Linked DNA regions of Tamandua tetradactyla. The protein of the gene in region 1 binds, or shares a complex with, the protein of each later gene. Links are inferred from orthologs where the notes say so. Each region holds a gene or a part of one and is shown in the gene's direction. Other genes may lie near its edges. The genes, in order: ABCC9 and KCNJ8.

Evidence for each region.
Region 2: the proteins of ABCC9 (region 1) and KCNJ8 are in contact, whole or in part, in a cryo-EM structure (PDB 7MIT), measured with the Rattus norvegicus proteins. The link is inferred for Tamandua tetradactyla from reciprocal best matches to the Homo sapiens genes ABCC9 and KCNJ8. Residues at the interface, in XP_038963045.1 of Rattus norvegicus: Phe5, Ile10, Tyr13, Asn14, Ile15, Val19, Asn22, Cys24, Phe25, Ala28, Leu29, Val32, Val35, Phe36, Phe39, Phe42, Pro43, Ile44, Phe46, Ile47, Gly48, Trp49, Gly50, Ser51, Lys55, Gln57, Ile58, Asn129, Phe130, Lys132; in NP_058795.3 of Rattus norvegicus: Met1, Leu2, Lys5, Ile7, Ile8, Pro9, Glu11, Tyr12, Val13, Leu14, Ala15, Arg16, Ile17, Ala19, Glu20, Asn21, Leu22, Leu45, Ala46, His47, Lys48, Asn49, Gly54, Arg55, Phe56, Leu57, Asp59, Ile60, Thr62, Thr63.

Annotation. Positions count from the first base shown.
Region 1 is NC_135333.1:84,559,624-84,574,824, reverse strand, and holds the start of ABCC9 (ATP-binding cassette sub-family C member 9), read left to right. Parts: upstream 1-7,170; 5' UTR 7,171-7,870; intron 7,871-7,949; exon of another isoform or gene 7,950-8,115; intron 8,116-8,213; 5' UTR 8,214-8,328; intron 8,329-8,861; exon of another isoform or gene 8,862-9,212; intron 9,213-10,888; 5' UTR 10,889-11,013; intron 11,014-11,807; 5' UTR 11,808-11,827; coding exon 11,828-11,969; intron 11,970-14,516; coding exon 14,517-14,658; intron 14,659-15,201. UniProt on the Homo sapiens protein: Subunit of ATP-sensitive potassium channels (KATP). Can form cardiac and smooth muscle-type KATP channels with KCNJ11. KCNJ11 forms the channel pore while ABCC9 is required for activation and regulation.
Region 2 is NC_135333.1:84,373,802-84,388,945, reverse strand, and holds the start of KCNJ8 (ATP-sensitive inward rectifier potassium channel 8), read left to right. Parts: upstream 1-7,211; 5' UTR 7,212-7,287; intron 7,288-7,609; 5' UTR 7,610-7,765; intron 7,766-7,863; exon of another isoform or gene 7,864-7,910; intron 7,911-8,580; 5' UTR 8,581-8,650; coding exon 8,651-9,024; intron 9,025-13,025; coding exon 13,026-13,926; 3' UTR 13,927-15,144. UniProt on the Homo sapiens protein: Inward rectifier potassium channels are characterized by a greater tendency to allow potassium to flow into the cell rather than out of it.

The DNA of each region.
Region 1 (15,201 bases):
AAGAAGACATAACAATCATAAATATTTATGCACCGAACCGGAATGCCCCAAAATACGTGAGGAATACACTGCAAACACTGAAAAGGGAAATAGACACATATACCATAATAGTTGGAGACTTCAATTCACCACTCTCATCAATGGACAAAACATCGAGACAGAGGATCAATAAAGAAATAGAGAATCTGAATATTACTATAAATGAGCTAGACTTAACAGACATTTATAGGACATTACATCCCACAACAGCAGGATACACCTTTTTCTCAAGTGCTCATGGATCATTCTCAAAGATAGACCATATGCTGGGTCACAAAGCAAGTCTTAACAAATTTAAAAAGATTGAAATCATACACAACACTTTCTCGGATCATAAAGGAATGAAGTTGGAAATCAATAATAGGCAGAGTGCCAGAAAATTCACAAATACATGGAGGCTCAACAACACACTCTTAAACAACGAGTGGGTCAAAGAAGAAATTGCAAGAGAAATTAGTAAATACCTCGAGGTGAATGAAAATGAAAACACAACATATCAAAACTTATGGGACGCAGCAAAGGCAGTGCTAAGAGGGAAATTTATTGCCCTAAATGCCTATATCAGAAAAGAAGAAAAGGCAAAAATTCAGGAATTAACTGTCCACTTGGAAGAACTGGAGAAAGAACTGTAAACTAATCCCAAAGCAAGCAAAAGGAAAGAAATAACAAAGATTAGAGCAGAAATAAATGAAATTGAAAACAATAGAGAAAATCAATAAGACCAGAAGTTAGTTCTATGAGAAAATCAATAAGATTGATGGGCCCTTATCAAGATTGACAAAAAGAAGAAGAGAGAGGATGTAAATAAATAAGATCAGAAATGGAAGAGGAGACATAACTACTGACCTCACAGAAATAAAGGAGGTAATAACAGGATACTATGAACAACTTTACGCTAATAAATACAACAATTTAGATGAAATGGACGGGTTCCTGGAAATAAAGAACAACCAACTTTGACCCAAGAAGAAATAGATGACCTCAACAAACCAATCACAAGTAAAGAAATTGAATTAGTCATTCAAAAGCTTCCTAAAAAGAAAAGTCCAGGACCAGACGGCTTCACATGTGAATTCTATCAAACATTCCAGAAAGAATTAGTACCAACTCTCCTCAAACTCTTCAAAAAAATCGAAGCGGAGGGAAAACTACCTAATTCATTCCATGAAGCCAACACCACCCTCATACCAAAACCAGGCAAAGATATTACAAAAAAAGAAAACTACAGACCAATCTCTCTAATGAATATAGATGCAAAAATCCTCAATAAAATTCTAGCAAATCATATCCAACAACACATTAAAAGAATTATACATCATGACCAAGTAGGATTCATCCCAGGTATGCAAGGATGGTTCAACATAAGAAAATCAATTAATGTAATACACCATATCAACACATCAAAGCAGAAAAATCACATGATCATCTCAATTAATGCAGAGAAGGCATTTGACAAGATTCAACATCCTTTCCTGTTGAAAACACTTCAAAAGATAGGAATACAAGGGAACTTCCTTAAAATGATAGAGGGAATATATGAAAAACCCACAGCTAATATCATCCTCAATGGGGAAAAATTGAAAACTTTCCCCCTAAGATCAGGAACAAGACAAGGATGTCCATTATCACCACTATTATTCAACATTGTGTTGGAGGTTCTAGCCAGAACAATTAGACAAGAAAAAGAAATACAAGGCATCAGAATTGGAAAGGAAGAAGTAAAACTATCACTGTTTGCACACAATTTGATACTATACATCGAAAACCCGGAAAAATCCACAACAAAACTACTAAAGCTAATAAATGAGTACAGCAAAGTAGCAGGTTACAAGATAAACATTCAAAAATCTGTAGCATTTCTATACACTAGTAATGAACAAGCTGAGGGGGAAATCAAGAAACGAATCCCATTTACAATTGCAACTAAAAGAATAAAATACCTAGGAATAAATTTAACTAAAGAGACAAAAAACCTATATAAAGAAAACTACAAAAAACTATTAAAAGAAATCACAAAAGACCTAAATAGATGGAAGGGCATACTGTGTTCATGGATTGGAAGACTAAATATAGTTAAGATGTCAATCCTACCTAAATTGATTTACAGATTCAATGCAATACCAATCAAAATCCCAACAACTTATTTTTCAGAAATAGAAAAACCAATAAGCAAATTTATCTGGAAGGGCAGGGTGCCCCGAATTGCTAAAAACATCTTGAGGGGAAAAAATGAAGCTGGAGGTCTCGCGCTGCCAGGCTTTAAAGCATATTATGAAGCCACAGTGGTCAAAACAGCATGGTATTGGCATAAAGATAGCTATATCAACCAATGGAATCGAATAGAGTGCTCAGATATAGACCCTCTCATCTATGGACATTTGATCTTTGATAAGGCAGCCAAACCAATTCACCTGGGACAGAACAGTCTCTTCAATAAATGGTGCCTAGAGAACTGGATATCCATATGCAAAAAATGAAAGAAGACCCATCTCTCACACCCTATACAAAAGTTAACTCAAAATGGATCAAAGATCTAAACATTAGGTCTAAGACCATAAAACAGCTAGAGGAAAATGTAGGGAGATATCTTATGAAACTTACAATTGGAGGCGGTTTTATGGACCTTAAACCTAAAGCAAGAGCACTGAAGAAGGAAATAAATAAATGGGAACTCCTCAAAATTAAACACTTTTGTGCATCAAAGAACTTCATCAAGAAAGTAGAAAGACAGCCTACACAATGGGAATCAATATTTGGAAACGACATATCAGATAAAGGTCTAGTATCCAGAATTTATAATGAGATTGTTCAACTCAACAACAAAAAGACAGCCAACCCGATTACAAAATGGGAAAAAGACTTGAATAGACACCTCTCAGAGGAGGAAATACAAATGGCCAAAAGGCACATGAAGAGATGCTCAATGTCCCTGGCCATTAGAGAAATGCAAATCAAAACCACAATGAGGGCGGGCCGCGGTGGCTCAGTGGGCAAAGTGCTTGCCTGCTATGCCGGAGGACCTCGGTTCGATTCCCGGCCCCAGCCCATGTAACAAATACGGAGAAACAGAATACAATAAAAACAAGAAAATGTTTAAAGATGTTTCCCTTTCTTCCTTCTATCCTTCCTTCCTTCTCTCTGTCTTTCCTTTAAAAAAAAAAAAAAAAAAAAAAAAAAAAAAAACCACAATGAGATATCTTCTCACACCCACCAGAATGGCCATTATCAACAAAACAGAAAATGACAAGTGCTGGAGAGGATGCGGAGAAAGAGGCACACTTATCCACTGTTGGTGGGAATGTCAAAGGGTGCAACCACTGTGGAAGGCAGTTTGGCGGTTCCTCAAAAAGCTGAATATAGAATTGCCATACGACCCAGCAATACCATTGCTAGGTATCTACTCAAAGGACTTAAGGGCAAAGACACAAACGGGCATTTGCACACCAATGTTTATAGCAGCGTTATTTACAATTGCAAAGAGATGGAAACAGCCAAAATGTCCATCAACAGACGAGTGGCTAAACAAACTGTGGTATATACATACGATGGAATATTATGCAGCTTTAAGACAGAATAAACTTATGAAGCATGTAATAACATGGATGGACCTAGAGAACATTATGCTGAGTGAGTCTAGCCAAAAACTAAAGGACAAATACTGTATGGTCCCACTTTTGTGAACCGACATTCGAGAATAAACTTGGAATATGTCATTGGTAACAGAGTCCAGCAGGAGTTAGAAACAGGGTAAGATAATGGGTAATTGGAGCTGAAGGGATACAGACTGTGCAACAGGACTAGATACAAAAACTCAAAAATGGACAGCACAATAATACCTAATTGTAAAGTAATCATGTTAAAACACTGAATGAAGCTGCATCTGAGCTATAGGTTTTGTTTTTGTCTGTTTGTTTGTTTGTTTTTTCTTTTTCCTTTTTTTACTATTATTATTTTTATTTTTTTCTCTATATTAACTTTCTATATCTTTTTCTGTTGTTTTGCTAGTTCTTTTCCTAAATCGATGCAAATGTACTAAGAAATGATGATCATGCATCTATGTGATGATGTTAAGAATTACTGATTGCATATGTAGAATGGAATGATTTCTAAATGTTGTGTTAATTTCTTTTTTCTTTAATTAATAAAATAATAATAATAAAATATAAATAAGATGTTAAGTATTTGAAAGTAGGCAAATGTACCACGATTTGCAGATAAAATCATATTTTCTAGAAAGTCAAGCTAACATAGGTGAAACAATATTGCAATTATTGAGAAAATTGTAAAGAGGCTAGATATAAGATAAATATATAATCTGTTAGAAAATATAGTATGAACAGATACTACATTCTTAGCAGGCCAATATATGAAAAGAAACTACAAAATTCACAAGAAATTGTAGAGAATTATAGAGACTCTTATGAATTTAATAACGGATTAAAAAAAAGACTTGAATAAATGTGAAGCCGTGTTTCTGGATGGAAAGAGAGGAAACACTAAATGTGACATGGCTTCATAAATTATTTCCTAGATTTAATGAAAAGCCAATAAAATCCCCCCAAAGAATAAAAGCTAAGAAAAATTTAAAAAGAGTAAAGAGACTATCACTCCCAGGATTAAAATGTACTTTAAAGCTACAATAATCAAATTGGACTGATCAAAGCAATAGAATAGAAAAAAATGGAAAAACAGATCAATTGAATAGAAGAGACATTCCAGAAACAAATTTTACTATAAAATAATTAAGTGCATATGATAAAGTTGGTGTTACACATCAAAGCAAAAAATGATTACTCATTCAGTGGTGTTGATGTAATGAATGGATAACTATATATTCTCATTTCATGGCATATGCCACAATATGTTCCTGAATCAAAATTTTAAAACACCCTTAAACAAATAAAAATGAATGTTAACATTTATGAAATGAAAGCTTTGGGATACATTGTGAAGGTAAAAAGCAACATCGCTGCTTGCATAAACCTTCCCTTAGAAGACAAGTGCCCCAAGGGCAGAGACACTGGGAGAGCTGATTTCATCACTGATTTCTGTGTCTGGTATGAGACCTAGCACATGATACATGCTCTAATAAATGTTGACAGAATTATGAAAACAGTTGTTATTTTAAGAAGGGCAGCATCACTCTCATTTTTAAATTGCAAGTTGGGAAAATATTTGTCAAATATATGATACAGGTTTAATATGCTTCTCTTATTAAAAGTTCACACAAATGATAAGAAACTTCATTAAGATCCATTAGATGGACAAGTCTGTGAAAAAGCCATTGACTATGGAAGAAATACAAAGACTAATAAACGTTTGAAAAAACACAGTGTCAAAAACAAAGAAATGCATGTTATTTGTCAAATTAAGAATTTTGTTTGCTTTTAAAATAATATCTACAATTGATTTGGGTGTAAATGTAGTAATAGGTCATCTCATACTGTTCAGGGGAGTGAATATAAACTTTCTAGAGAAGTAATTTTGCATTCTGTATTGGTAACCTTAAAAAATATTTACCCCTTTTGTCCCTGTAATTACTTTTTAGAGGATGTACCTTAAAGAAAAAATCTACCACACTGAAAAAAAACAAACAAAACCATCACAGGATTTCATCTGATAGTGAACACAGGGCAACTCCATGTCCAACAAAAAGGAAATTGGTTTAAAATTACGGAATATCTACACAAAATGATATTATGCAGACACTTAAATTATTTCTGTGAGGATTTAAAAATGCCATTGGAAAATAAGTGTTTTAAATGATGTTGTGAGGAGACACTTATGCTGTAATTGCCAATATAAAATATGCATATCAAAACAGAATATCAATAATTAATACTCAGCCATTACTCGAGGAGCACACACTCTCTCAGTACTTTACAGATATTACCTCATTTGTCCTCTCACCAACCCTAAGAAACACCTTTATTTGTCATTTTATTGCACTGGACACATGAGGAAACTGACAGTCCAAAGATTGAGTGGAGTAGCAGAATGTAATAGTATGCATGCTAGCTCGGTTCATGTGCCTAATCACTGCAGTATATAGCACCTAAATTTGTTAAAATATAACCAAATATTTCCAGTAGTTGTATTAGTTTGCTGGCTTCTAAAACAATTGCCATACAGTGGGTGGTTTTTTATTGGCTCTCTGCTTCAGAGGTTAGAAGGCTTGCCTCCTCCCCAGGTGGGTATCTTTTTTACCGATAGATTCACACGTCAGGACCAGGGGTTGGGACCTAAACAAGTCTCTTGTGGGAGACTTGATTCAATCTCCAACAGTAGTTATGCTTTTCCATTTTTTTTACAAAGCTTCTACATTAAATGTAACTTTTTATCCTTACAAACGACCTTACTAAGAGTAATATTAAAAAAAAACAAATCTCCAAGTCAACTTCTTTTGTGTAGTCACATTTCTATGTAATGATTCTTTGCACCACCCCGTTGTCCCGCCCCGGGGCCCTTGCAGAGCCTCTGATACTTCTCCATCAAGTTTTAGGGTCCCCGCGGAGCTCCTGCGTCGGGCTAACAGCTGCAGATTGCAATAGCCTAGCGCTCAAAAACCTGAGCTTTCTGGACCTTCTCGGGAGCCGACCCACGTGGCCGATCCTGGAGACCTCTTGTGGCCGCGGGCTCGCGTCCCAGTCCTCAGCCGCTGCCCGATACTCTCCCGGGAACTTAGTAACCTTCCCGAGAGTGGGGCGCGCCCGCGGGGAAATCCCCTCAGGGACTGCAGGACCGGAGCCTGCCCGCTGTTCACAAGGACCGCGAGGCCGAGATGCCCGTTTCGCCCCTCCAGTAGCAGACCCCGCGATCCACCAACGTTTAGGTTTCAGGGCGCGGGACCAGCATTGGCTGCTCACCGTCCTGGAGCGGTGCTGCCTGGAGGTCACACTCGGAGCCCGGCTGCACCAGTCCGCCTGACTGACCATCCTTTCTTAGTTTAGGACGATTGCTGAAAGCAGTAATGATTTCAAGCTGACTCAGAACTGGCCACTGAGAATTTTGAGTGTAAATTAAATAAGGCTGGCGAGGCCCAAAATTAGGGTTTGAGAACTGGGAGTGGGGAGGGGACTTAGGGTAGGTTAAGTGGATTTTAAATACGTTATCTCCTGGAGAGTTAACTATCTCTTTGGCCTGGAGCGGAGTAAGGGGGTGGGGGTGGGTTACTATTTATGCTGCTCTTGGAAACCACCAAAGTTTGGGTAAGTGTCGCCCTTCAGTAGCGCGGCGACTAGTGCGCAGGAGTAGCCAAGTTTTCCGGGTCGCTGGCAGGGGCAAGCTTAGGATTCAGGCTGTGTTGATCATGTGAAACAAACAGAGAAACCCTTGCAACGAGTTTCTCTGCTTAACAGTGAGTCCTTCATTTCCCCGGTCCGGTCAGGGCAAAAACATAGTGACCGGCCCCCTCCGCCCCCCATCCACTTCATTATGTGGCTAATAAAAGGATGCACGTAGAGCAGGGGGGAAAAATACGAATGAGTACCTTGCGTGTTTTGACGTTGAAAACCCCTCTTCGTAGACTCACTTAGTTATATATTGCAAGATTAAAACTTCTGATGAAGTTTGGGGGATGCCTATTATTTGGGTTTGCGGCTGTAGCTGGACCGAGTGGGGTGGGGAGGGTCTTCAGTCCAAGGCGTTGCGCACGGGGCTTCTGCCCAGTTTCCTGCTTCGGAGTCGCAGTGTCCGCCCCGGCCCGAGAGCAGTTTATGCAATTTAGAAACTCGATAGGAGGCAGCAGCTGATCTCCCACCACCCTAAAAATAATCCAACCCGGCGCACTGCGTGTTACGGCTAGGGAAGGAAAACTTTGCCGTCGGAGTAAGTGAGTCCATGTCTTTTGCATAAATATCATTAAAAAAATTTAAGACTAACTGTAAACGGTAGATTTTTATTTAACATTTCGGTAACCAAAAGACGCACGCGCACTGTGTGCGCTTTGCCTTAAGCGATCGCTATTTCTAGGACGAAGGGAACCGTCCGGAGAAGAGAGGGGGTGGGGATCGGGTTTCCAGCTCTATTTACAAAACTGTGCCGGTACCTAGGTAGACCAACTGGAAACAATGCAAGGTGTTACTACTAAATTTTTTTCTCTCGGGTATTTCTTGAACTGCTCATGAAATAGCTTTCTATCTGCTTAATTTTTGGTTACGCTTTGCTTTTTTAAGAGTCCTGCGCCCGGGTTGGAAATTTACGTCTTAAGACAGTGTAGGAAGCCGGTCTTTTGAAAGTAGCGCAAGTGCACGCGTAGGGGGTTGAAGCAGCATCAAGCGATTGCCCAAGGTATTTATTTTTTGCTTTATTTGCTCAGTTTGGGACTTAAAAAAATCCCATTGAAATGACTGTCCTAGGAGTCCTGATTGCTGAGTAGTTCCATTTTCTTTGGTGAGCGAAGGAACTTCACATCCACTGAAGAATAAATGTGTGAATTCAGATCAGGCACTGAATCAGAAGTCAGTGGTCATTTTGCTAAGTATTTTCTAACTTGGATCTGACATAGCGATGGAGGGTGATTAGATAGCTAGATAGGGACAGATATAGAGATAGATGAAAAGTAGACAAATCTTCTAGTTTATGTTTTATGAACCGCCAACTGATTTTTTTCCAAAGAAGATTTTAAAGCATAAACTTTTTTTAATTGTTTTTTTATTTTTTTTTGCAAGTGATCTCCATCCTGAAAATGTCCTAGATAACGATAAAGCTCTTAAGGAAATTCCTTGAAATGCCCTGGGTTCTCTCTCATAACATACATTTGTTTAGTCACTGAATAAATAAATAATGAATTGTTTCACGTTAGAATGAAATCTTTTCTGTTGCTTTTGACATGTTTTTCAGGTGTTTCCAAGCATTTTAAGTTTTCTGCTGTTTCTCTTCCATTAAATTGACAGTTTCTGTTGGACGAACAGAAAACAGTGCTAGTTTTCACTTATTTTACTTATAGTCTACTTCCAAAAGAGAGGACTGGCAAAAATTGCTGAAGGAGAGGCCGGTACCTGATATACATTGACACTTTTGCCAAATTTTTACAATTCTCTATTTAGGCCTCTGTCTGTGCTCGGCTGAACCGGACAGATCCAGAAGGGGCGTGTCTGAAGGATGTCAGGTGACTGAGCTTAGCCAACAGGAACAGCGCTTTATTCCCTTCCGGAAGCCTTCCTGACTTGATGGTGTGTTTTGGAAAGGAAACACTGGCTGACCTTTGGAAATCTAGGAATTAGTTAGAAACTCAGGTTGAATAAAATGCCTTTGGTAAACACTAATAATTATCAACATGTCTGTATTGCTTACTCCTCTTTATTTATTTATTTATTTATTTGGTCTATATTGGAACGTATGTGGGCTGGCTGGTAAGATGTTCCACATACATACTGAATGCTGCAGAAGGGAGGGTCGGGGAGAAGAGGGTGTAGGAAGAGAAAACAGAAGGAAAAATGTGGTGAGAGGTGGTGGGTGAGTTTGGAGCTAGAAGGAAGTGTGAGGCTACAGATGTTGAGAAGGAAGATGTCATTCTAAGACTTATGTCATGAATTTGCAGCAAATACTGTAGTGTTATTACATCATTGCATATTTCTCCATCTTTTGGATCATGTAACTTTATATGATCCCAAGAACTACTTGTAAATGGTATGTTCTTATTTATACAGTCTAAGAGCACAGGAACTTACTGTCTTGTGCACTTTCGGATTCCCAGTGCCTAGCACATGGTCCGCATCCAATAAGTGTTTTAATGTTAATTAATTAAATGGCCTAGAATCCCTGACAGCTGGTACGGGGGTGAAAATAGTCTTAAACGTTTTCAGGTGGTTGTACTTTTCTGACGCTTTCTCTCCACAGCTACAGGACACTTATCCAAAGGGTTACTTAATTGATAGGTTTTAGGATTGATTTAAGTATTAGGCAGGTGGCTGCACAGGTGGTTCAGTGGTAGAATGGTCACCTTCCTTGCAGTGAGACCTGGGTTCAATTCCCTGACCATACGCCCACAAAAGAAAAAAAAATTAATAGGCAGGCAATATTAGCTAACAGAGGATCAAATTTAGGTTAATCATTGACATCCGGTTGGATAAGTATTACATATCAAGGTTTACAAATGTGGCCAACTGGAATATTATAATTTTGGGTACAATTATAAAAATTGGTAAAGTAAAAATTATTTTCTGGTTCATGCTAGGAAGCACTTTATACTTGTGTCTAAATATAAGAGTGGGCTTATGTTTTCTTTTGTGTTACTACTAAATAAAGGAAATAGTCTAAAAACTTTTACTAGTAATTTTTTTCATTTTCATTTTATTTTTCATTTTTTATTTTCAGTTTGCACCTGTCTGAATTTAAGAATGGGCTTAAATTTTCCTTTGTTTTTACTAAATAAAGGAAACAGTAAAATTTTTCATTAGTAATTATTTTTGCTTTCAATTTTCCATCTTTACCAGAAATACATCTAACATGCAAATCATATGAGCTTGGAACTATAACTTCCATTTTATTATTTTAAAAACCTCAAGTCCATTCTAATGCTTTTATCCAGTTTATACTCTTTAATAATTCATAAGGATTTACCAAACGTAAACTTTATCCTGAGTTTTAAAAAAATGTAATTGTTTTAAAAAATTAGAAATGGCCTCAACTGGAAAGCATATAATTGATTTATCAATAAAAGGATTTATTGAAATAATGTGTGAAAGGGATTCAGTTTAAACATTTATGGACTGTAAATATTGAGGCTTGTGAACTATTTCTCTTCATAAAATGCTTTATAAAACCTTCTCTTGAAATTTAACTTCTCCAATAGTTTGCCTACTATTGCTAATCTTTTCTCTGTAATACTTTTTGTTTTTTTCCCTAGGACAAATATTGTTCGTGGCTATTGCTAAACTCTAACTGAAATTTCACGGTAGTATTTTGATGGAGCAGATACTTGCTCCTCTATCATCTGTTTCAGCACATCCATGAGAGGGATCCATTTGAAATGTAAGTCAGAGCATGCCATTCTTCTGCCCTACATCCTCAGTGCCTTTCCAATTCACCCAGTATAAAAGCCAGAATCCCAGCCCTGGTCTACAGAGCTCTGCAAGATTTTGTCCTCTCTTAACTCTAAATCATCTACTTAATTGGAAAATGAATGCCGATTTCCAATGATCAGACATCCTTCCTTTCAAAATTTTTACAGCATGCATTTTATGTAAGAATGGGACCTGAATACTTTCATTTAACTGGTCAGTTAAATACAGTTCTATTTAATTTGTCCAGATTACTTAGTTTTAATATTCTTCAGAGAAAGGTTGTTTGCAGACACATTGGTCTCTGTGTATTACTATTTTCTGCAATTAAGGAAATTTTCAGGAAATTGTGTCCAGCCAAAGTTATTTGTTAATGCATTTTCAATGAATAGACCTGGAAAAGGATTTGACATAACATTTTGACTTTTCAATCATTAGCTTCACTTTTCTCCCATTTTTCTTAACAAATCACCTATTTTGTTCTTTGAAATCATTTTAATCAAATACTCCTTTGAGGTACAACTATAGAAGATATTCACTATTTTACATTTTACAAATCAAAAGAAAATATTTTAAAATTAGAGTATATTTCTCTTTAAAAAAAAAACAACTATAGAAAAGAGGACTTTGTCATGCATTTATCTAGTTCTTCAACTGTAAAAATAAGGTGGATAAATGATATAACCCTCTCTATAAGGCCATAATCCTATGAAAGAGAGTTTAATTACAAGAGACTTTTTTCTTTCTCTTTTCTTTCACTTTTAGAGTAAACCATATGAGAAGAAATGAGCCTTTCATTTTGTGGTAACAACATTTCTTCATATAATATCTGTAAAGGTGTATTAGAAAACCCTTGCTTTGTGAATGCCCTCAATCTGGTCCCTCATGTTTTCCTGCTGTTTATCACTTTTCCAATATTGTTTATTGGTAAGTAATGTAATGTTGCTATGTCACATTAGTAGTGAGATTTGGTATAATGTTGACTTAATTTCTCCATCATGAAAGCTGATATGAGAGTCTATGAGAAAAGAAGAAACTTATATTTTGTGTTTTCTTATTACTTCTATTTTTAGCATATGATACTCGGTAGGTAAAATAGTGGGCATGGTCCTCTAAAGGATGCTTCCAGATAGCAGCAGCTGGTTTTTGAAAAAGATAGAGATAATATATGAGATGGATCTAAAGCATTGATTGAGTACTTGCTTTGTCCTAGGTGAAGGCAATGGCAAATGGGTGACATAGTGTGTGCTTTGCCTTCTGGGAGTAGTCCAGACAAACAGATGCATTAAAGTCAGGAGAACTTAACTGTATCACATTTTAAGCCCACATTCAAAAATGGGAACAAATTATACTAGGCATTAACCTGCTAGAACAACTAATTCTTCCTGGTGTTGGTGGGAGGAGATTGCCCAGAGAGTGACACGTTCCAGAACTTGAAGGTTACAACGTGTGCAAGTTAAAGTAGGAATGACGTGGGTATGTTTTGAAGAGAATACATTTGCAAAGAAATGGGAACCATTTTCTCTATGCTTTTACAGTTTATGCATGTACAGAATCCAGTTATTCAGAGCAGTTATGTACAATTTGTGTGGTCCTACCCCCTGAATTACCAAAATAGACCATTTAACTTTTTAAAAAGTTATAAAATATTTTCAGTATGTAAAAAATGACCACGATTAATATAATAAACATTCTTTGAACCTACCACCACTCATCCTTTGGAATGTAGCTGTAAGAACATGTGTATCTTTTTGCATATCACTTCCTGATTCTGTTGTTATTCCCACATCCTTTCTTCCCATCCTTTCATAAGTAGTAACTACTATTTATAATTTGATGATTAATATTCCCATCCATGATTTTGTTGCCCACAAAAATATATGAAATAATAAAAAGTCATCAGACTTACTTTCTTAAGAAAAATAGCATAATCAAAGAATATGCTTTAAAGAAAGATTTAAAAATGATGTGAATACTTTTATTTATTCCTTAAATAAATTCACTGAGAGCCAGCTCCATTCCTGTTATTATTTCTTACAGTGATCAAAGAATTTGTCCTATGGTGTGTGATGTCATAATAGAGCCCACCATAACTTTTCGTGCAAAGTTATTCAGGTTAAACAAATATATAAACAAATCTAAATATATTGGTACCACAGTAGCCATACGTAGAAGTACTAGTGCTATATGTAGCATTATTTGTAGGACATTACAAACGCTCTTTGGCCAAAAGTAGAACCTGCATTTTTATTGCAGTTATTACAGTTGATAATTCCTCTTTTTGTTGTCCAGTTAACTTAAAAGGAAAGACTGTGACATTCATTTTTGTATCCCTAATACCCAGCACAGTGATTTGCAACAATGGTATTTGTATAGAGTCGCATTGAAATGGATAGTGTCAAAAGAAATTATGGGGAAAAGTGCGTTCTGCTTATTTATAATATTGCATTCTTGAGTCAGTGAGGGGCCATCAATACTTAAAATCTCAAAGAAGTATCGGGTACAAGGAAAATTATAATGCTGCATAAAAGACACAGAACTTGCCTGCAAGAGTTTACAATGTAAACTGTGGTAGAATATGTTAAATTTAACTAACCTGCCAATAATGAAATACGTTTGGCAACAACTAAGACGCGAATCAATTTTTTTTTCAAAGAATGCTTGAGAGGTCCCTTTTATACATACAAAAAATCCTTCCTGCAATATTTCAAGAACAAACCCTCATTCATTCCTGAAGTGTGTCAGGCTTCTCTACTGATGAAAATGAGGGAAAAAAGGGCGATGAAAGGAGACAAAAGTCGTTTGTTCCTGACATGCTACATATGAATTGGTATTATGCTGTAATTTTGAGAGGAAACATCACAATTTTACTAAATATAATCTTGAATATTTTCTTCAGTGATGAGCCAAATGTGAAGCTATAATGTTCTTGAGCTTGTTTTTAAGCTCTTTAGTGTGAAAAACTTTTAACTTTTGCTTGTTGAATAATGCAGGCTGAGTCATAGGTAATCATTTTACTCATATAATATGCATGTGATTAAGAGTTCGCTCAATAATGAATCCCATATTTCATCACCAAGTATTCCTTTTTTTTTTGTTAGTCCTCTCACAGATCCCAAATGCCACATTGTTTTCATTGCTATCATTAATTTGTATTTTGTTTTCCTTTTGAGTGAATGAGAGGCCTGTTGGTAAAGGCATATAATTACAGTGAGATAGCCATGTCATCACCCAGAATTGCCATTATTCCTGAGCAATAAACCATTAATGTGTTGGTTAGCCTCGGCAGTCTTGTAAAAATTAATTGAAATTTTATTGTTTTAATATAGTGAAAATAGACCAGGTTTTCCATTGCTTCCCTAGAAAGCACTAACATTTCAGGCTTCCCCCTCCAAACCAATATAAATGATTTCCATGATTATAATGGATCCTTTTCTCCCCCCCCCCCTTCTGTTATCTTTTCATCTTTTTCAGGGTGGGGGAGCCAAAGCTCCAAAGTACAAATTCATCACAACACATGGCTCCATTTTCCTGGCCATAACCTCAGATGGATTCTTACCTTTGCTCTCCTGTTTGTGCACGTTTGTGAAATAGCTGAAGGCATTGTTTCAGATTCGTAAGTCACCTGGTTTAGCTAATGTTATGACACTATACTAGTGGGTATATTGACATGGAGGGTAGCTAAGAGCATGTCACGTGCGGCTCCGGGCATAGCACAGTAGGGATAACAGTGGTCAGCTACTTAATGCCATAATCAGGGGTTTTGCCTCTATTTTTGTGTTGCTACATAATTTCTCTGGTAAAACAAATTCAGATCAGTGACTTAACTCTCCTTAATGCGCTTTCCACATTTTTGCTCCCTGATCAGGGTAGCCTTTGCAGAAAGTTCCTCTCTCCTTTTAAACACTTCACTGTTTACCTTATCCTTAAAAATTGGTATAGAGATATTATCTATATTGATATATAGATCTAATAGCTAAATATCTCTATGAGATCTATATACCAATATAAAGTATATTAATCATTTCTCAGATGTTTTAAATTATTTTGCAAATAACCAAAGATAGATGAAGCAGGTGTTTAAGAAGTCTGAGAACCAGTGAGATCATAGCAACAGATTGTATGAAAATATTTTAAAATATTTTTAAAAATATGAAAT
Region 2 (15,144 bases), about 190 kb from region 1:
CGGAAGTGCACAGACAGGAGTCTGGGACTAGAAAGTAAGCCAGGCTGCATTCCTTGGGCGTGCTAACCTCACCAGTGCAGCCGCGTGACCAGTGGCTCACCGTATACCCCACATGCTTAAATCCCGTCACCCACTCCTATTTCCTGCACTCCAGGCACCCCCACCCCACCAGCCCCTAGTGCACATACCTGCCCCACACCCCCATCCCAAGTGAACCCAACCCATCTCTCTTGCACCCCTTCAAGCACTACCTACCCTTCCCTGCTCCCTGCAGGCTGTTGCCAGCACATAAAGGCTGCAGGCACTAACCCAGGCTACCCTTGTCCCCTGCCCATAGTGTGGCACAGCCTCACCCTACCCTCCATGAGCTCTGTGCTTAGCTTAAGGCACTCCTAGACCCACACATGCTCACGGGCCCCCAGTCATGTCATTCAGCTCCAGCAACCTCAATTTTCAGCAGTCCTAGAACTGCGCAAACACACAGCCCTCAGCCATGCTTCCCAGCTCTGAGAAAGTGTGACCTGCATAACCAAGTCACATCTGCCCCCAATCCACAAAGATATAAGACGGACCTGCTCCCACAGCTCAATGCATGTGCACAAAGAGCCCTATGCTTTAGACCAGCGCACACCAGGTTTACATCCCCAACTGGTGCACCCACACAGCTACATCCTCCCTGGCTGCTGGGCACCCACATTCACAAGCATCAGTGTAACATCCCCAACCTGCACCTATACCTGCCCTGAAACAAATCACAGCACTGAGTGCCCCACCCCATACCCTGCTCCCTGCAGTACATCCATTCTGCAAACACAAGGCCTTAGACAACTGAAAGAAATCAACTCCCAAAGTAAATCTATCAAGATATTTACATGCCACAAAGACAGCAGAAGATCACCAAGCATATCACAACACAGACAGATACAGGCCTGCCTAATGACCATATTGAACTACCAGAGGAGACACAGACATTGGAACAACTAATCAAAGATGTTCATACAACTCTACTTAATAAAATAAGTGGGATAGCAAATGACAGAAAGGAGATCAAGAAGACAGCAGAAGAGCATAAATAGGAATTTGAAAGAATAAACAGAAAAATGGCAGATATCACAGAGATTAAAGACTCTGTTGACCGAATAAAAAACATGCTAGAGGTACACAACACCAGATTTGAAGGGACAAAAGAAAAAATAAGTGATACAGAGGACAGGATAACTGACTTTGAAGACTCAAAACAGCAAATGGCAAAAAACGATAGAAAAAATTGAATCAGATCTTAAGAAAATGATAGACAAAACAAAGCATACAAATATAAGAATCATTGCTGTCCCAGAAGGAGAAGAGAGGAATAAAGGGCTAGGAAGAGTAGCTGAGGGTATAATGGGGGAAAACTTCCCAAACCTCATAAAGGACATAAATATACTAGTCAAAGAAGCCCAACAAACTCCATACAGAATAAATCCAAATAGGCATTCCCCAAGACACATACTAATCAGTCTGTCAAATGTTGAAGAGAAGCAGAAAATTCTGAAAGTGTCAAGAGAAAAACAACCTACTACATACAAGGAAAACCAAATAAGACTGAGTTCAGACTACTCAGCTAGCTCCCTGCAGGCAAGAAGGCAGTGGTATGATATATTCAAGGTCTTGAAAGAGAAAGACTTCCAGCCAAGAATTCTGCACCCAGCCAAACTGTCCTTCAAAACTGAGGGAGAGATTAAAGTTTTCACAGACAAAGTCCTGAAGGAATTTGTCAACAAGAGATGGGCCCTACAAGAAATACTAAAAGGAGTTCTACCAGCTGAAAAAAAGAGACAGGAGAGGGAGGTCTGGAGGAGGACACAGAATTGAAGAGTATCATTAAGGGTAATTTAAAGAATACAAAGAGAAAGAGGGAAAAGAATATACAGATCTGACAAATAAAATAAAAAAGATAAGGTGATAGATTCAAGAAACACCTTTTCAGTAATAACTTTGAATGTTAATGGACTAAATTTACCAATTAAAAGATACAGATTGGCAGAATGGATTAAGAAACATAATCCAACTATATGCTGCTTAAAAGATATTCATCTTAGATACAAGGATACAAATAGATTGAAAGTGAAAGGATGGAAAAAGATTTTCCATGCAAGTTGTAACCAAAAGAAAGTAGAAGTGGCTATACTAATTATCAGACAAGATAGACTTTAAATGTAAAAACATCATAAAAGACAAAGAAGGACACTATACTCTAATTAAAGGGTCAATTCACAAAGAAGATATAATAATCATAAATGTCTATGCTCCCAATCAAGGAGCTCCAAAGTACATGGGACAGTCATTGATAAAACTGAAGGGAACGATAAATGTTTCAACAATAATAGTAGGAGACATCAATACACCACTCTCCTCTATAGACAGAACAACCAGACAGAAGATCAACAAGGAAATAGAGAAGTTTAATAACTTGATAAATGAATTAGACCTAACAGACATATATAGGTCATTGCACCCCAAAGCACAAGGATATACATTCTTCTCTAACACTCATGGAACATTCTCCAGGATAGATCATATGCTGGGGCACAAAAAAGATCTTTATAAATTTAAGAACATTGAAATTACTCAAAGCACTTTCTCTGATCACAATGGGATGAAGCTGGATCTCAATAACCACCAAAGAACAAGAACATTCACAAATACATGGAAATGAAATAACACACTATTAAACAAGCAGTGGGTCAAAGAAGAAATTGCTAGAGAAATCAGTAGCTATCTGGAGATGAATGAAAATGAGAATACAACTTATCAGAACCAATGGGATGTGGCAAAAGCTGTGCTAAGAGGGAAATTTATTGCCCTAAATGCCTATCTTAAAAAACAAGAAAGAGCAAAAGTCGAGGACTTAACAACACACCTAGAGGAACTCGAGAAAGAACAGCAAATGAACTCAAAAGTATATAGAAGAAGAGAAAAAACAAAGATTAAAGCAGAGATAAATGAATGGGAGAACAAAAGAATAATAGAAAGAATCAATAAAACAAAAAATTGGTTCTTTGAGAAAGTCAATAAAATTGATGGTCCACTAGCAAAACTGAGAAAAAAAAAAGAGAGAGAGGATGCAAACAAAATCAGAAATGAGAAGGGGTGTGTCACCACAGAACCTGAAGAAATAAAAGAAATCATAAGAAGATACTATGAAGAACTATATACCAACAAACTAGACAACTTAGATGAAATGGACAAATCCCCGCAGACACACACACAAGCTGCACTGACTCAGGAAGAAATATAAGATTTCAACAAACCAATCACAAGTAAAGAGATTCCATCAGTCCTCAAAAATCTTCCTACAAAGAAAAGCCCAGGGCCAGGTAGCATCATATGGGAATTTTAAAGAGGAGGAGTATAACAGAGAAGACAGGGTTTAGCAAATGAATATGACTGCTGATATTATATAGATATTTCTGTTGGTCTCCAGTGTCTTGGTACAGCTGAATAAAAAATTAAAAGTCATGAAAATATAACCCATACCAAATTTTAAAATCTGTTCCATAACTACTTGCTGAAATGTACTTGGAAATGTATTTATCTTTCTGTATACATGTTATATTTCACAATAAAAAAATATTGTAAAAAGTCAAGGACCAAAATACAAAAATCAGGACTATGATACTCCTAGGAAAAAAACAGAGAAGCATTTTCAGGATCTTCTGTTTAGCAATGGTTGCTCAGACTTTACACCAAAAAGCATAAGCTACAACAACAAAAAGATAAATGAATTGTACATCACCATCAAAAATTAAAACCTTTTTGCATCAAAGGACTTCATCATCAAAGTGAAAAGACTACCTACAGAACAAGAGAAAAGACTTGGAAACTGCGTATCTGATAGGTGTTTAATATCCACAATATATAAAGAAATTCTACAACTCAACAACAATGAAAAACAAACTACCCAACTAAATAAATGGGCAAAAGACTTGAATAAACATTTTCCCAAAGAAGATATACAAATTGCCAGTAAAGACATAAAAAAGATGTTTAACATCATCAGCTATTAGAGAAATGCAAATCAAAACTATAATACCATTTTGCACACAGTGGAATGACAAATATTGAAAAACAAAAAAAAAATTATAAATGTTGGACGAGTTGTAAAAAAAATAGGGACACTCATTCACTGTGGGTGGGAATGTAAAGTGGTGCAGCCACTGTGGAAAACAGTTTGATGGGTTCCCAGATAGTACAGAATTACTTTATAACCCAGAAATTCCATTTTTAGGTATATACCCAATAGAATTGAAAGTAGGGACTTGAACACATACTTGTACGCTGTTCTTCATAGGGGGGATATGCATAATTGCCAAAAGATGGAAGCAACCCAAATTCCCATCAACAAATGAATAGATAGACAAATGTGGTGTTTATATACGATGGTATATTATTCAGTCGTAAAAAGGAATGAAGTTCTGAGACTGTAGCAACACTGATGGACCTCAAAGAAATCATGCTGTGTGAAATATTTTATGATCTCACTCCCCATGGGGAGCTAATGCCTAATTGGCATAGAATTTCATTTGGGGTAATGGAAGAGTTTTGGTAATGGATAGTGGTGATAGTAGCACAACAGTTGGAATGTAATTTACACCATTGAATTATAATTTTGAATGTGGTTAAGAGGGAAATTTTAGGTTGCATATTATGTTAAAATAAAAATTTAAAAACAACAAACTATAGGACTCTATAACACAGCATTCCCTAATGTAAACCATAGTTAATAGTATAATTATAGTAATATTGTTTTATCAATTGTAAGAAAGAAGGTACCTGGATAGTTTAGTGGTTAGAATGCCTGACTTCCGCGCGGAAGACCTGGGATCAATTCCCAGACCGTGCACCGCCCCCCGCCCCCAAAAAAGAAAAAGCAAAAAAATAATTGTAAGAAAGGTACCACACTAATGCAGTTTTAATAATAGGGAAAACTGTGTTAGTGGGGAGGGGCCCATATATAGAAAGTATAATTTATGTATGACTCTTCTGTAAACTTAAAACTTCTCTAATAATTTTTTTAATATGTCATAGCTTGTCATTTGAAAACAAGACAAAATTCGACTTAACACTGCATGTTTGGAAGAACATATCTCTTTAGAAAAAGAGTAATTTTTGTAGTATAGCAAAAGAACAAAATTTTCATGTGAAATCTCTCATAATTTCTTCTCAGCAGTTCACCCTCCTTGGTCTGATTTTCCTATTTTTTCTGTCAGCACCATAAATATCTTAGTCACCTCTGACTTATCCCTCTTCCAATGTAGACTCTGAACATTCCTTTTGTATATATTTATATATTGCCCACTGTCATTATCAGCCCTGAACCTCATTCCCTCTCTAACTAATATAATAGTTTCCAGTGTCCCCTCCTGCAATCACAGAAATTCAAAACCCAAAGAGACTCCAGGAAGAAATTCAACCCATAAACCCATTCTACTTTTTGCTTCCTGATCATTCTTCCTAAAACAGTCTCTTATTGTATTGTTATCTGATCAAAATCTTTCCATGGCTTACCACACCTACAGAAGACAGTCCAGGCTCCTTTGTTGAGCATTTAAGGCTGTCTGTGCATTTTTTTAAGATACCAACATACTATTTCAACCTTATCTTTTCCATTCATTGATTCAAAAAAATTTTAAGCACATCTGTAATCTGAAATGTGCTAAAAATTTAGTTTGCAAAGATGAACAAGTCACTATCCTGCCCTCCAGCAGCCTTCAATTGTGTGGAGAAAAGAGTCAAGTACATGAACAATCCATTAGGTGTTGAAAGGTCTGACAGAGGCCTTGGAATCAGGGCAGATCCCGTTATCTCACTGACTCTGCTTCATCACTGCCGAATGAATTACTTTCTATTAATAAAACACAGCCTGTTCTTGTCAGCACTCCATGACTTTGTCCATGCTTCGCCTTCTCTGTGGAATGTCTTCTCTCTGCATTTCAGTATGCCCCAAATACATCCTGTCTTTCAAAAACTAGACCAGATACCAAACAATCCATGAAGCTTTCCTAAGTCTCCTAATATGCTCATTCAAATTCCCACAGCACTTTAGTTGTATCTCCTTTCTCATTTTTATCACTCACTTACTTGTATTAGAATTTATTACATCTTAGCTGTTTTCCTATACCTGTCTGTCTCTTACGGGTAGCATCTATAATTTAAGTACTAATAAATCTCTAGATATAAACCTTAAAAAAAAACTTTCCCTAACAGGCATCCAACGAATGCTGTCTGAGCTAAAATAATAGATAATAAATAGCATACCAAATACAATTGCAAAAAAGTACTAGGGGAATGATGATACAAATTGATCCTCTCATATTTATGGCCAAACTACTACATAAATTACTGCACAAGTTAAGAACAGCAGAGAAGAGAGCTGTCACTGACAGACTAGGACCCCCAGACTTCAAGGGACAAAGCATTTCTATCCACAAGAGAGGAAAAAAAAGTGTCTGTTTTCCTTCACGGCTAATACTAGGTCTTTCGTTAATTAAATGAACACATTGTTTATTCTCCATACACTTTCAGTCCCGAGTCTTGGAAAATACATGAAATTTCCAAGAATTAAAGTTTCCATTAACTCAAGTGCCAAAATCACAAGGCTTGATCTGAGGGAGAAAGCACATTTGTCTTTGCTGGCTCCTTTTCAAAAAGCTATAGAAAGATATTTACTGTATAACCTTCCTTGTGCATTAACTGCTCTGCTTATCATTCAGACTATCTAAACAAGACAGAGAAGCTGCAACATTTCAGAAAGCAATCGATTGCAGAGGAGCGGCCGTTTGAGGGCTGAAGTGTTGACAGTGTCCCTGTTTGGAGTACACTTTCTTCACGGGAAAAGACTACAGGATTTTGTACCGTTGTTGTTGTGTGTTTAATGCACGACAACTAGCTTTGAGTGGTGAAGAAATAGCATACTCTCGTGGGTTGCAGAACATTATCCACCTGTGTTATCACCAATAGACGAAAATGTAATATAAATAAATGTGTGTGAATGAATACAGCTTGCACGCCTGGGAAGAAAATCTTACGGTATCTGGTTTTATTCCATCTGAAAAAAAAAAAATTCTGAAACCCAGTTATCTATTCGGGTTACTAAAAAAAATAATAATAATGAAATAAATTTTCTTTACGTCAGTGAACTTGGACTCAGAGGGTTCTCTCCCTGAGCAGCGAGCCTTTTAAAGACGTTTGTGTCACTCTGGCAGCAGGGGGTCGCCGCTACTGGGAAAAGAGCTGGCTCTACAGGTCCCGCCCCCCCCCCGGGGGTCTCCCCTCCCTCCGGCCGCCTCCCTAGCTCCTTAGAACGCGACTTCGCGCCCCCATCCTCCCCCACCACCCGGCTCCAACCTCCGCCGCGGCGCGCAGAGGTCTGGCGCGCGTCAAAACCTAACAGGGAGGTTGATTTGTGGAGCAGCATCCCCAAACTCCCCTCCCCCCAGCCCCTCCTCCGCCCGCGGCATCTGCCTAGGGAGTTGGGTTGAGCAGGGGGAGGGGGAAGAGCAACACCGTCCCCCTTCCCCCAGCCGTCCCCGCGTTTAGATTCAATTGTACCTTTTCTTATTTTAAGTCTTCTGTTTAGGCCACTCGGCCCCTGGATCAGTCCCTCCAGCGTTCGGCATCCGCGGCCCCAGCTCCGCACGCGGAATGGGAGAGCGAGGGACCCACCCGCGGTCCGCCGGCGTGTGCGGGAAGGTCCAGCCGAGGCGCCCGCTGCCCGGAGCCTGTAAGTTTCAACGCAACACCCGGAGAGGGGAGGGCGAGCTGTCCACGTCCCAGCAAATGACTTAAATTGCAAAACACAGCAAAGATCTGCAGGGTCCCGTGGACTCTTCGGGACACTCTCCTTTGACTCTATTTGGTGCCCACAGGTTACTGCTCAGGATTTCCTTCAGTTTGTGTCTGAGCCCTTCATTATAAAATTTTCCACTTACAGTATTATGAGTTCCATGAGGAACTCTTTCGCTTTTTTCTTAAAAATGCAACTCATACTTCCTTCAAATTTAAAATAATTCTTCAAATTAGATAGAGTGCTTATTTTTATCAGATTACACGAAACAGCTCAAGAGAGCAAGGCCTTTTCTTTGCCTACTTCTAAAAATAAGAGGAAGAAATTTCCCTCTTTATTTTTACTATTGCTGTATCATCTAAATAGCTTAATAGATCGTGATACTCAGCTGGCCTTAATTTCCCTCATTGACGCTGCGTGTTTGTAGCCTCACACTGATCTACAGCCGCAGTTGATCTTAGAGAACTATTTTTGAACTTGCTGTTTACGTGAAGGCTCCTGCTGGTGTTTCACTAAGGCTATGTCCATATATGTGTTCAGAATAAGAAAAATGGAAACAATTCTCCTGATTCGGACCAAATAATTTCTCTGGGATCCCAGAACTTAAGCAAAAGCTGGATTCGTGTTGAGCTGAATAAAAATCATGCTTGCCACTTTGCATGCCTACATGCCCCTTAAATCAAGGACTGGAGAGGTGAGGAAATGTTTTTTGTTTTTTATATATATTTTTAATGATCGTTTACTTCGTGCAGGAGGACGGGTCTCGGAGGAAGGAGAGGCAGGTCAGAGGTCGGTGGGTAAGCTGGCTATGGTGACAGGACGATGTTGGCCAGAAAAAGCATCATCCCGGAGGAGTATGTGCTGGCGCGCATCGCCGCGGAGAACCTGCGCAAGCCTCGCATCCGAGACCGACTCCCTAAAGCCCGCTTCATCGCCAAGAGTGGGGCCTGCAACCTGGCGCACAAGAACATCCGCGAGCAAGGACGCTTCCTCCAGGACATCTTCACCACGTTGGTGGACCTGAAATGGCGCCACACGCTGGTCATCTTTACCATGTCCTTCCTCTGCAGCTGGCTGCTCTTCGCCATCATGTGGTGGCTGGTAGCCTTTGCCCATGGGGACATCTATGCTTACATGGAGAAAAGTGGAATGGAGAAAAGTGGTTTGGAGTCTACCGTGTGTGTGACTAATGTCAGGTAAGGATGCAGTGGGATGAGGCGAAGATTGAAAGGAGTATGGGAAAAAAAATATTAACCTGCCCTTTTTCCCATCACTCCAGTTTGCGAACGCTTTGCTTTGAACCTTCAAAGACAAAAACAAGCATGCAAACCACAAAAAAACCCCACTAAGTTTAGATATTAAAAATCTTTGTAAATGCAGCTTTATGGATGATGAGTCTCTGAAAATGTGGAGCTTCAATCCCTTGGACTAGACTTTAAAATATCATAGCAGTTATTAAAATTGTGGTTGGAGAGGATTCCACAGAATGTCTTCCTCAAAAAAAAAAAAAAAAAACACGCATTTAAGTTTTCAGTAAGAACAGCTGCTGTCCATAGTTCCAGTGTCCACAAATAAATATCTCTGATCATTAAAAAATATTACACAAATGCTGCTAATATTTTCCCATGACCTATCTTACCCTTAATATTTTCAGAAATAATGAAAAAATGTAGAGGCACTGTTCAGGAGGGGTCAATTAAAAATCCATTAAATATTCAATAACTGAAGTAAATATAAACCTTCCTTTATTAAGACTGTCTGAACATAGCTCATTGCCTGCACTGAATTAAAAGTTGCGCTCAGATTCAGAGCTGTAAAACAGTTCATTTTTAATGGAAATTTTCATAGGAGAGATTATATAGAAGAGACTTAATGCTGCAGTCTTCTTTCAGTCTTGATTGAACAAGAACAAGACAGTTGCAGATTGCCTAACTTTTGTTTCTTTTTATTCATAAGTATTTCTAAGACCAGTAAAGTGAATATTTTCAGTGATTCTCTTTTCATATTTTTGGAGGGCAGAAAAATATTTAGTTGGGGTGACTTGTATTTATTTTGTGGGAAGATAGAAAGAGATAACATAACATTCAGAGAAACATTTACTCTGAAGCAAAACAATGCAATAATAATGGAAATTTTTCCAGAACATTTTCTGAATAGCATTCCAAATTCACATAGTGCACAAAGCTAAGAAACTTAAGCCCCATACTACTAGGTAACTGTAAAGAATGAGACCTTTCTTGACCCTGGAATCTTGTGAAATTAGCATGCCACTGCAAAAAGCAGAAAGCCATGCTGTGAACTTGTCCATCCTTCTAGTTCCTAAGTAACTGTAATACAAGCATATCAGGAATGTAGCATTTGTATGCAGAGACAGCACACCACATTTATCAGTTCAAATTTTGAGGAAAGTAAACTGTATCGAATTGATCCATTGCCTTTGCCACTGAGTAGATACTCTTATTTTTAACATAATCTTTTCTCAAAGAACAATGTGGCTGACAAATGTGAGTGATCATCAAAGCACTCGATATAAAGGAAAAGAAACACTGTGTGTAGCAGTTATTTCAAGGTCAAAGCTACTTTTAATAATATTTCTCTTTAAGAAATTTATTGGCCCTGATATTAAAGTCACATTCATATTAAGAGAAGTTCTCAATAAATATGCAGTAGGTACTCATAAAGAAATTAAAAGAACTAAAATGATAGTCCTTGAAAACAAATGACAGATTTTATGCAGAAGACAAATATATTGCCTTTTTCTATGAAAATGAAGTCATTAAGCAATGTATTAAAAATACATCATAAAAAGTGATATCCTTTCACTGATTTTTCAAAAAGAAATTTAGATGTTCCATTATCTATTAAAAGCCATTTTACTGCTAGCGCTTGTTTTTCATGTAAGGTATTGTCCGAAGCATGTTCATTCCCTTGATGTGTCCCTGCTAGTGTGGATATAATATCAACTGAGAAATGGTCCCCAAAATATGAAGCTGATCTTATCAGTATAACAATTTTAGTGTTTCAAACTGCACTTCCTAAGAAAACTTATTTGACATCTTTAAAGGTTGTTCTAGTCCCAGTGATTTTATTTTCATGCTATGGTATCATTTATACTTTAATTTCAATATAGAGTTTAATCATAACAAGCCTCACATAATAAAAAAAATTCTACCATAAATATAGAAATAAAAAAATCACTATCCTCTTCCAAAGGGAATTTAAAATATGACTAATAATGATTCTAATTATTAGCATTCCCTTTCCTTTCTTAAGTTCAGTGTCCTGTTGCATTGTCAGAATCAGAAACAGTTTTTTCAGTGGTTATTCACCAGTGTTTCTAAATAATGTTTTACCATTCTCATTTTAGGGTGGCTTACTTTCCCTTTCATGTAGATTACTTTCTAATATGCATCTGAAAAGAAACCAGCATATTTCCCCTTTCTCCTTATGATTCTTTAACAAACAAAAAAACAACCAAACATTTTTATCAGTTGTGGTAGTTTAGTCTGACAGGTGTTCATAAAAGACTGGTCTTGAACCATATAATGGTTAGAATTGAATTCTTTTATACAATAAAAATGTTTGAAATATGGCACATGAATGTTCTCAAGCCATTAAAGCAAAACATTTGGGTATATTCATCATTATGCTGTTCCCTGAAGTATGGATTTATTATTAGACATCAGTGTTGTGTCCATGACCCTCCTTTGGGATCCATTCCTATTCTTTGCCAAGATTCAGGGTCATATGAGATATCTTGTTTTGTGTAGCTAGTGTAAGAATAGTTAATGTGGTTTTCCATGAATCCTTGTAGCCACAAAAGAGGAAAAGGGCAATTTTCAGGCTCTGTTTAGAAGGTTATCAGAAGCGTCACCTGTTCATGCTTGCTTACCCCCTCATCATGTCCCAGCAAAAGTGCCTGGCATATATTAAGAACTCAGATTTTTAAAATTTGCTCACTCATTGTATGTGGCATGAAAATATATATATATTTTTTATATATATACTTATATATATATATAATATATATATATATTTATATATATACACACACGCACTCTCTTTTGATGACATTTTTGGCAGATGAGCTATGCCTGGCTTTTCTTTGGTAAAATTAGAGAAGTTTGAAATTAGGGGTGTGGGGAGGAAGACAGGGCTAATAGTATTTCTGTTAAGACACTGCAGCAGTATCAGGGATGTAGTAAGTGAATGAATGAATGATAATAATAACCAAATGCGCTACTTCTCAACCAGAAAGTGAATTACAGAATTACAGAATTCTGATTCCCTTTCTCACCCCGAGCCCACCAAATCATTGTCAATCCTTGGAGCTTCCCTAGAAAACCTGACAACTTTTGGCCCCTTCCCTTTGCCTCTTTCAGAGTACTAGGCTAGAATTTGGAGGATTTGTGTTCTTATTAATTATATGATTTTGTCATATAATTGTCATTGTTGTTTACTAATCTCTGTCTGAAATTCTTCCTTTATCAGCTTCCGTATTATCTAGATCACTTAGGACAAAATGAGACAATCTACAAGAAAACACTTTTTTTCAGATGCAAAATTTTATTATTAAAAATACTAGTATTTTTGAACGATGTGTGTTGTACCACTTTATACTGCAGTGCATTGACTATATAAGCTACACAATAAGGTTTAGCTAATGAACATGATTTGAACAGCTATAACAGTGAAAAGTTCACTCATTACTCAGTGCCTTCAATAGGACTCAAGTCACTTAAACATAAATATACAAGAGTAAGTGCTCTTTGGAAAAGTCTCTGTGTTATGGATTTTTATTTAGATTAAAAATAATTTTTCAAGCTTATGCTGCAAATGTCATTAGGTTTCTATTCTTCAAAAAACAGACAGGATTTACTTTCACTTTGTGAAATTTTCTACCAGGAAGATGTATATTAGTTTATTGTATTAGTACTTTCATATGAGTAGACCCATCATTTACTGACCTAGAAAACACTAACAGAATTAAACCCTTGTAGTCTAGAGATAGTGCACATACAGGGAGAATGAAAGTGCTTGTGCTTAGAATTTGACATTTGGCAGGTTAGGTTGGCTTGTATTTCTAAAAGCATTGGATAGCCTTGAAGGGAAGAAAATGAAGCATTCATCTAGGCATGCTATTTTGGTATTCAAAATCTGATCTGATGGCATTGTTTTCTAATATCATTCCTTACAGGTCTTTCACCTCTGCTTTTCTCTTCTCCATTGAGGTTCAAGTGACCATTGGATTTGGAGGGAGGATGATGACAGAGGAATGCCCTCTGGCCATCACAGTTCTGATTCTCCAGAACATTGTGGGCTTAATCATCAATGCAGTCATGTTGGGCTGCATTTTCATGAAAACAGCCCAGGCTCACAGAAGGGCAGAGACTTTGATTTTCAGTCGCCATGCTGTGATAGCTGTCCGAAATGGCAAGCTGTGCTTCATGTTCCGAGTAGGTGACCTGAGGAAAAGCATGATCATCAGCGCCTCGGTACGTATCCAGGTTGTCAAGAAAACAACGACCCCAGAAGGAGAGGTGGTGCCTATTCACCAGCTGGACATTCCTGTTGATAACCCAATCGAGAGCAATAACATTTTCCTGGTGGCCCCTTTGATCATCTGCCATGTGATTGACAAGCGCAGCCCCCTGTATGATATCTCAGCAACTGACATTGTCAACCAAGACCTGGAGGTCATAGTTATTCTGGAAGGCGTGGTTGAAACTACTGGCATTACCACACAAGCAAGAACATCCTATATTGCCGAAGAGATCCAGTGGGGCCACCGATTTGTGTCTATTGTGACCGAGGAGGAAGGAGTATATTCTGTGGATTACTCCAAATTTGGCAACACTGTCAAAGTAGCTGCTCCACGGTGCAGTGCCCGAGAGCTGGACGAGAAGCCTTCCATCCTTATTCAGACCCTCCAGAAGAGTGAACTGTCCCATCAGAATTCACTGAGGAAGCGCAATTCCATGAGAAGGAACAATTCCATGAGGAGGAACAACTCTATCCGAAGAAACAACTCTTCTCTCATTGTGCCAAAGGTACAATTTATGACTCCAGAAGGAAATCAGAACACATCGGAATCATGACAGCAAGACAACCCCAAGAGAGTCTTTTATTAAGTTTTGAAGCTTCATGTTGGGTACTCTCAGAAAGACCCAGAGCTGGAACATAATAATGTGTCTTCATTTTAATGCACTAAATGAAATTCATACTCAGACAATAGCACTTTCTGTATCAATGAACAATAACACATAAGGTGGAGGAATCATGTTCACACTTGTTTTATATATACAATATTTGCTGGATATGCTTAAGTTATGTAGAAGAAACATATCTTTCCATTTGAAGCACAAGAATTACATTAATAGTAATAGACCTTGAATAGAACAAGTTGGCTAAGGAGTGATTCTGTTTTAAATGCTTAGTTGGTAAAACCACAGATCTCACTGTTTCTTATGTTCACTTTGGAAACACAAATGGAATAGGAAGGGGAAGAAATTGTGTTATTTACACCTTTTGTCTATCAACCAGTGTGCTGCCATCTCCTTTCTCCAGGATACTGCCCCTGTCAGTACTTCCCTGGTAAGAAGCAGGAGGCAAAAACACTTAGCTCTCACTGCTTCTAAGGGTATCCTGTTTGTTCCCCTGGTCCTCCATCATGACGTCCCAAAGGTTTCCTGGTCCTGCTCATGGCAGCCTTTTGGGCAGAACTAGGCAAGGAGTCTTTGGAGCTCAAAGAGGGTTTGGAGAAAAGGTAAGAGCATTCCTGTCTCAATTGGGACTGGATTCCCAACAATGACAATTGCTTCCTTCAGCTTTTCACTTCTTAAGAGTCCCCACATGAAATACTGTGCTGAACATTTTATTAAAACCTGTCATTTGTATTCACTATAGTTTTGTGATTTCTCTTTCACAAAATTATCCCTAGCTCAAACCTCAAGAAAAAAGCATTTTTAGAGGCATGTGACAGAGATGTCATACAAACCAAAATGAGAGCACTCACTTTTGAGATCCCTCTCCCTTAGGGATTCTTTCTAAGATCTATTGTTCCAAGGTAACTACATTATTTTTTTGTCTTGAGTTGATTTCATTGCAAGCTTTCAAACATCCTCTTAGGTTTTCTACCTGAGCCTGAGGTATCGTAAGTATCCTGTAATCTTTTTTCTGTACATCTCCCACCTCCCAGCTTTTCTTTTCCTTACTTCACAGTGAATTCAGACCAGGCATATATGTTCAGTATTCTCTCAGTGACTAAAGTGAAATATTATGTCAAAATTCAACTTATTAAAAGAAAGAAAAAAACT